Linked DNA regions of Lytechinus pictus. The protein of the gene in region 1 purifies or fractionates together with the protein of each later gene. This does not show direct contact. Links are inferred from orthologs where the notes say so. Each region holds a gene or a part of one and is shown in the gene's direction. Other genes may lie near its edges. The genes, in order: N-alpha-acetyltransferase 30-like; N-alpha-acetyltransferase 38, NatC auxiliary subunit-like.

Region 1 (3,931 bases):
TTTGTTGAAGTTGATATATATATAATTTACTACATGTATATGACAGAAGCTGCAGCTCTAATGATGGCCTTCATTTCATCCTCATCATCATCCCTCTGCTGTTTGGAAATGCTCTCAGATGATGCTAGCTGTGACATGAGAGTTAGACCTGTCCTATCCATTTTCAGAAGATTAAGCTAATAGTTTATAGTATTTATTATAACATTGAGGTGAGTGGCCTATCGCTGGAGAGAAAAGACACGACAACCTTGATTTAGATATAATGATGCATTAAATGCTGCTACTTAAGATAAAAATCATTTCAAATTATATACTTGATTTCATTTATTTTTTCAGTGCTTTTGGCAATGCATCGCAGTATATGAAAAAGTGTTATTTGGTTATCAACTTTTTTAACTTAATTTCCACTGGTATTTTGGAAAGGGCTCATTGACCTCTGACCCCTAAATACATTCTCCATGGCCGTCATTATTTCAGACCGAAATTATGAAACCTCCATGTTTTCATTACAAATAAGCCATGGTTATTTACATTATTTAGATATAAAATATGAACACAAAATATATTGTTTTTGGTTATTTTTATATCATATAGATTATATATTTCCTCTGATCTAGGATTTAAAGGGTGAAAGTTTATTCTTTATACTTATTTTAGTGTTGTTTAATCTTCTTGTACAAGTCTTTGGATTTTGGCACCAAGATCACCAACCTGCGGTGTTTTATCTCAGAGATACCATTATTATTATCTAAAAAGGACATTGACCTTTGTCGTTGAATTTTATGGGTGAATGTGCATTCTCGATGCTTAATTTTATTTTATCTTCCTGTAAGAATATGCGTGTTTTGACACCAAGAACACCAATCTGCACCGTTTTATCTTAGAGATACAATTATATAATATGGTATATGTAGTATAAAAGGTCATTGACCTTTGGCCTTAAATTTTATGCGTGAATGTGCATTCTAGGTACTTAATTTTATTCCATTTGATCTTCTGGTAAGAATCTGTGCATTTTGACACCATGATCACCAACCTGCGCCTTTCCATCTCAGAGATACCATTATACAGTATGTACGAAAAGGTCATTGACCTTTGACCTTGAAAAAAAGCACTTTCCCCAACCCGTATTCCTCCTAACTTTTTTTTGGTAAATGTTGACACCCATACCTACTCAAATCAGTCAAAAAACCATTTCCAATAATTTTATTCCAGATTGGCTCTTTTGGGGTCTAATTTAGGGATGCTAAAAGGGGAAGTAATTGTAATTGAATTTGAGAAATTGTAATTGACTTATATTACATTCAATTACTTTTGATTACATTCAATAAAAAAAAAGAAAAAAGGACCCTGGCTGGATGGAGGACATGGACAGAAGCCAGAGCTGTGGCCTCTGATAGGCAATGGTGGAGACGTTCGGTGGCCCGGGCCCTATGTGCCACTATAGGCATCTGGACTATAGGTAACAGGTAAGGTGACATTCAATTACATTACTTTATTACTTAATTTATTATTCAATTTACTCTGGATTGCTTTATTCCCTTAATTAGCTACTAGTGCTCTCTTCATGAAATTGTATCATTTTCCATGATAGGGAGAAAAGAGCTTAAAGAACTGCACAAAGTGGGTGGCGCTATACCTTGCGCTATACATACAAAATATTAATTGATCTGATTTATGACTTTCAAGTAATTAATTGTAATTGTAATTGACAAAAGTAATTAGTAATTGTAATTGAAAAAAATTGTAATTTAATTGAAAGGTAATTGTAATTGAACATTTCTTCAATTACGTAAGTGCAATTGCAATTGTAATTGAAGAAAGTAATTTAGCCCAACCCTGACCTTCACATCACCCTTTCCATCTTTTGCACCCTATAGCTACTCCTTTGATTGGGAACATTTTGGAGGTAATCGGTCCACTGCCTCCTTTGAATATTTTTACAGATAAATGGCGCTATACAATGATGTTCATCAGTAGCGTACGCAGGGGCCGATTGCCCGAAAGGGTCTTTCCAAGGACCGTCTTTCGTGTCGCCCATCTTTTATGATGCGCTATTAGCGGGGTGTTTCTGAAATTTATGATAAACAAATACAATTCGTAAGCTTGCTTTTAAATCAAATTTTATACAATTTTGTGAGATATCACATCATTTTATAAACAAATATTTTGTTTATTTTAACGGACGAATAAAATATGTTTGCAGATAATTTATTTGAAATGCGTTTCACATGGCGCATCATAAAAAATGGGCGACACGAAAGACGGTCCTTGCAAAGACCTTTTCGTGCAATCGGCCCCCAGGATTTTTGAAAGGGGATAGTTCAAGCTGAATGAAAAGTTTAAAAAAATATATATGAGGGAGGGGTTTTGAGTATCAAAAAAGTTAAAGGGGGTTTGAACACCTGTATCCCCCCCCCCCCCTGTGTACGCTACTGCTGTTCATCATCATCATAATCATTATCACTACCACCCCCCCCCCCCCCCACATCGCCTTGATTTTTGACTGATGCCCCGACTGATGCTTGAATTTTCTTGCAACATTATCAGCGCAGAGCATTTACCCGGTATGATAACACGTACGGTATACCGTATGTCATGTACGTGGTATATACGGTACTCCATCCCAGGCTTGAGCTTCTTTGAGCTGCAAAATGTATATGATATGACGGCAGCGCGAGCTAGGGGATCAATTTTTAGGTGCAAACTGATGTTTGATTTCTTCATGTTTTCTGGTGAGTTTACAGGTTTGTTTTGCGTTTTTCTTTCTGATACGTGATGTTGCTGTCGTTTGAGACCTGAGTCAGTGTTAATCAAAGTAAATTGTGGATCTATGTGAGTAAAGAATGAGTGTGAGGAATCCCAATCAAGATTGATGAAGTCGCGACACACAGCTGCACAGAGAGGTCTCGCTCAACAGATCGATAGGCCGTTTCTATTGCCAGTTCGTTCAACTTCCTAAGTATACAAGTTGAATAGGGGTATCACGATTCCTTGATATATGTAAGGGAATGGCACATGAGCCAAATCACTGGCTACTGTATATCTGTTGTCATCGCGATAAGTGTGAGTTAAATTGATGGTGTGTACTGTAGCCTATATGATGGGGTGTCCAAACTTCGCACACTTTTCAAAAATATTCATCAGGCTTAAATTTTTCACAAAATATTCATAATTTATAGTTTATACAAAACCAATTCAAGAAATAGTTACCACATTGACGGCAAGATCGTAAACTATAATATCATGGACGAAAATGTAAAGTAGGTCAAGGGGATTCGCCGGTATCGAGATCTCAAAATAATATTCTGATCGGCGAATGCGCGCTGTGCTGGAAAAGCGTTCAGAAAAAGTGTGACCTAACTTCGCGGACCTAAGTTTTTGTGGACATTTAAACAAAAACTCAAGCTCAAAAAGTGAAATATTTATATCAGATTGATGGCAAAATGCTATAGCCTATAGTCTAGAATCGGTTAGTACCACATTTAACTCACATTTTTGATGATTTCTGCTTGCAAAATGGTGATATCGACTATCGTGATGCTTGTTGAGAATATCAGATTTCTTCAAAACGGGCGCTAACGGTGACAAATTTGCCGATCTTTTGCTAATATTTTCATGAATACTGAACTCATCCTAAAGAAACTTACACCAAAAGGTAATTTTAGGTCGCTTTTCACGTTGATGATGTCAGATTTTAAGGATATTGGCTAGTTTTTTAGATGACCCTCCGCGAAGTATGGACACGCGCGAAGTTTGGACTCACTGCCATACTTCATGAATCAAGATTGATTCAGGAGCAGATTTAACAATTGATGAATTGAATGCACAAATCACTAATGAGGAGGTTGTTATTAATGTTATGATTAAGATTAGAGCTAATAAATAAGCATGATTCATGATAAGAAATAAGAATCATGAGAATACACTC
Region 2 (3,931 bases), on another chromosome or scaffold:
CGTATTTGTTGTTTTCAGACCCCTATTAACAGTTGGATGAATTCTAATTTCTATCTCTAATTTATGCATATAATTTGTCCAATATCGTATCTTTCGGTATCAATGATTAAAAATGTTTCGTTAAACTATATTTTGATGACGTTTGGAATCGTAAAAGTCCGTATAATTATCACCATTTTACAAAAAAAAACGTTATGGTTTACTTTCGTAAACTATTAAAATTGGGTCTGCCGGGCCGGGGGTACCCATCTCAACGTCCACAAGTGATTTTTTAGTCATGAAATGAATTATTCATAATTTGATTTTCTCTGCAATTGAATGCTCCAGTCTTCATGGTCTAAGTATGTATGATGCATAATTCACCTGTGCTATTATTTTGAAAAGATTTTTTTCCCAATTCATCATAATATTTGCAATTTTGTCATATCATATTTATAATTTTTCTTTTTGAAAATTATGCTATTTTGTGACTAAGGCTACGTCTCGTCTGCTCTTTTTACCGATAGTATCGATATCAAGGTATTCTAGTTAGGAAGCCTTTCGAGAAACAGGTTTAGTAAGATTGGAACTAACTCCGTGGTTGGTGGATAAAGATATGCCGATAAGGCGATACATGTATATGACTAACTTGTCCATGTGTTGAGAAACGGGCCCCAGGGCCTTCACAAAAATCAGCACGTGGGACCACAGCACACAGGCACGGAGTAACTAACGGTCCGAGAGCACATGATTATGATAAGAAAATTACCTGCCCTCCTATTGTTATGTCAAAGAAAACAATAGGGTTGGTTGGGTTTGAAGCTCCCGTCGTCATTGCAAACTTTTTAGGACAAGCTTAAGCCAGAGAAACGTGATGAAATTGTGTTCCAACTTCCAAGGGCAAGGTTTTAGCACACCACCACTGCATGCACTAGCCACTCTCTCACGCGCGGTATCGAGGTCGAGAGCGTACGGTATACCAAAGGTGAAGGCGGGTACGGTGATCACGAAGCTGCTGGTTAGACCACTCTAAATGAGCGCAAAGGACCTCAAAGTTAGTAGTTACTGATATCTAGACTCTGGTAAGTAAAAAAAAAACAACTTGGAATTCTAACTTAAGTTTTATTTAGGCCCTAGGTCTCATTTTCATATGCAAGTAATGAAAGAAGCTTGATTTTACCAAGAATAAGATTCAACTACCGGTATTCGTATCATGATATTGTAGTTGGTCTTGGATAATAAGATACTCAAAGTTAATGCATACCCGAATCGGGATAGCGTCGCAATTAAAGAGGCGAAGTAAAGTTTTGCCTGTGATGCGGTGGGTCATCAAACCCTGTGCATCCCCACTAAAATTGAAAATGAAAATATAGAGAAGGTTCAGAATAATATATCTAGCCATAATATAGATTAGAACATATATGATGGGGGAGTGGAAATACACACCAAAATATGGCTTTATTCCGTCAAATTTCGAGCAGGATCTAGTGCGTGTAATTGTCCATAGACATCAGTTTATTTAACTAAGTTAGTCAGTAAAGCCAAAGGGTCTGTGAGTCTAGACTAGTCGAGCTATCGGCTGATAATCATTAAAATACCCCTTCCGGTATCAGCGCTTCTCGCTAGCATAGCGGGAAGAGGTCTTGACCACTCCTAGTACCAATGAGGTCCAAACATTACATGTATGGACCTCATAGGCGACATCAGTAGTATTTTTGGTTAGAAATCTCTGAGAACAGGATATTTATATATTATATCACAAGTACAAGCTATATTCCTTTCTCTTATTTAAATTATAATTTTATAGTGTAAATGCATCGTTAGCAACAACAAAAAAATGAAAGAAATGAAGGGGAACTTACATTTTCACGGCTTTTTCCTGATTTTCTGGGCAGTTGCTCTTCTCTTCTGACTCGCGATCGAAGCTGATATGAAGATCACGTGATTCGCGTTCTCGTCAGCTGATCGGTTGGTTATTCTTTTTGTCAGACGTTAATAATATATATTTTATAATGCTAGCATTCATCGCTAATTTAGGTGAAAGAGATTGAAGTTAAACAGCGCCAGGTCGGAATCATAATTATTTTGGAAGAGTGTATTTATACACTCGATCTCATACCTGACGTAGACGGCGCTATTCAACAAATGCACAATCTTCAATATAAAAAATAAAACAGAAAGAACGCCTTGAACACATGCCAAAATGCCTAACGATTTCTCCGCGGCATTAACAACTATCGTAAAGGGCGCTCCATTTATTAATAAAGATGGATGCATAGCTGTCTATGGCGACAAAATTTGCCGCAAATATTTACAAAGAATTTGTGAGAAATGGTCTGAAAATGCAACAAAAGAACCGGTGAGTACCGATTAAACATTATCAATTTATTTAATAGAACATATTTCATGACTAGAGTTTATTAATTTCTAGATAATATTGCTTAGTTCTAAGCTAGGGCGGCCCAAATGCGCGTGAGTGGAGTCCCAGTTTATTAGCACGGGTAAGTATTGGGGTGTCGCCTAGAGTGGTCTTGACTGCAGATAAAACGAGGTGAGTTAGAGTCCCAACTAAGGTAAGCAACAGTAAAAAAATGATAGAAAAATCTGAGATGAACGAACCGGAAGTCTCAACAATCTTGTTATTTTTGGTGGGGGGTGCATATGGAACTCTTTCCCCCTGTACCTGTATTATACTAAACAAAGTTAGTGTAGATTGAGAACAACATGCATTATGCAAAGGCATGGAAGCGTGATCATAAGGTTAATATAAAATAAAATAAAAAACTAAGACTAAGAGCATGCATGTGGAGCAGGAGTGGAAATAAGCTTGGTGGGGGCACTTGATCTCAATTTTTTTTTATGTATGGGGATGTGCCTCACGAAACCTACCTCAAGTGCCCGGGGGGGCCACTTACATTGACGAGTGGATACCATGCGCGACCAAAAAAACACGTAAAAAGGATGTCTTTTTCAAGATAGGGCACGTTACGTACGTAACGTGATAAGGGTGTCAAAAACACAAAAATAATGAAAAAAGGGTATCTATTTCGCTAGGAAAGCTAGTACGTGTTTAGGGTCAAATTTGCGGGGATGATAAACAAAATTAAAATGTTTTATAAAGGATGTCCTTTTTGCCCCAACACTACGTGTTTAGAGTAATTAGAGTCCGATTTGCGCGAGGTGTGGAAGCTGGGGCCATACTAAACCAAATGGTGTGTAAACTGTAAAGGTAAAACCGACGACCGATGGACTCGTGACATAACAATCAAATATCGCTGTACTTGTTTAGGGGTTCATTTCAGGGAATACTTGCCAAGAGTATCGTTTTGTTTCCAATACTTGTTAAGGGTAGGGTTTCAGACGCCAATACTTGTTAAGGGGTGCATTTTCAGAATTTGGAAAATACGTGTTTAGGGTGCTTTTCGAGACCCCTTGGTCGCGCATGGTATCCACTCGTCAATGGAAGTGGCCCCCCCGGGCTCAAGTGATGTTCGTGCAGGCTCCACTCCACTTCACTACCGCTACAGCCTACACTACGCTCCACCTACCTGAACCTCAACTTGAGGCTCCAGGTCCAAAACTCGCTCTGATACTCCGAGTGGCAAAGGTCGTGAAGGTGGGAAAAAATGCATATTATTGTAAAAATCCTATATACGGAAACTAGCTTAAAAAGAATAAGAAGCTTAATTTCTTACTTTTCATCCTAATTTCACTCCATATCCATCCTCCGGTTAGCCTCAAAATTGGTGATTTAGAGCCAACATCGAGTTCCTCACACGTATAAATAATTTGCTGCCGATTTCAAAACATCGCATGCGCAAGGGTCTGAGCTCAGACCCTCGTGATAATATTGAAAAAAAGAGAAAGAAATCCGTTCCTATACTTCGCATATTTTTTGTAACATCATTCCGGCCGCATTGATCCTCTACAATGAGCTGCATTTTTGGTGAAA

What was found.
Region 2: the proteins of N-alpha-acetyltransferase 30-like (region 1) and N-alpha-acetyltransferase 38, NatC auxiliary subunit-like purify together in Homo sapiens (co-immunoprecipitation; 3 studies listed by BioGRID and IntAct, with this or other methods). This does not show direct contact. The link is inferred for Lytechinus pictus from reciprocal best matches to the Homo sapiens genes NAA30 and NAA38.

Annotation. Positions count from the first base shown.
Region 1 is NC_087251.1:25,285,203-25,289,133, reverse strand, and holds the start of N-alpha-acetyltransferase 30-like, read left to right. Parts: upstream 1-1,372; 5' UTR 1,373-1,469; intron 1,470-2,491; exon of another isoform or gene 2,492-2,747; intron 2,748-2,840; exon of another isoform or gene 2,841-3,066; intron 3,067-3,931. UniProt on the Homo sapiens protein: Catalytic subunit of the N-terminal acetyltransferase C (NatC) complex. Catalyzes acetylation of the N-terminal methionine residues of peptides beginning with Met-Leu-Ala and Met-Leu-Gly.
Region 2 is NC_087258.1:26,236,614-26,240,544, reverse strand, and holds the start of N-alpha-acetyltransferase 38, NatC auxiliary subunit-like, read left to right. Parts: upstream 1-954; 5' UTR 955-1,061; exon of another isoform or gene 1,062-1,212; intron 1,213-3,931. Other genes in the region: peptidyl-prolyl cis-trans isomerase H-like, read right to left, coding at 749-814.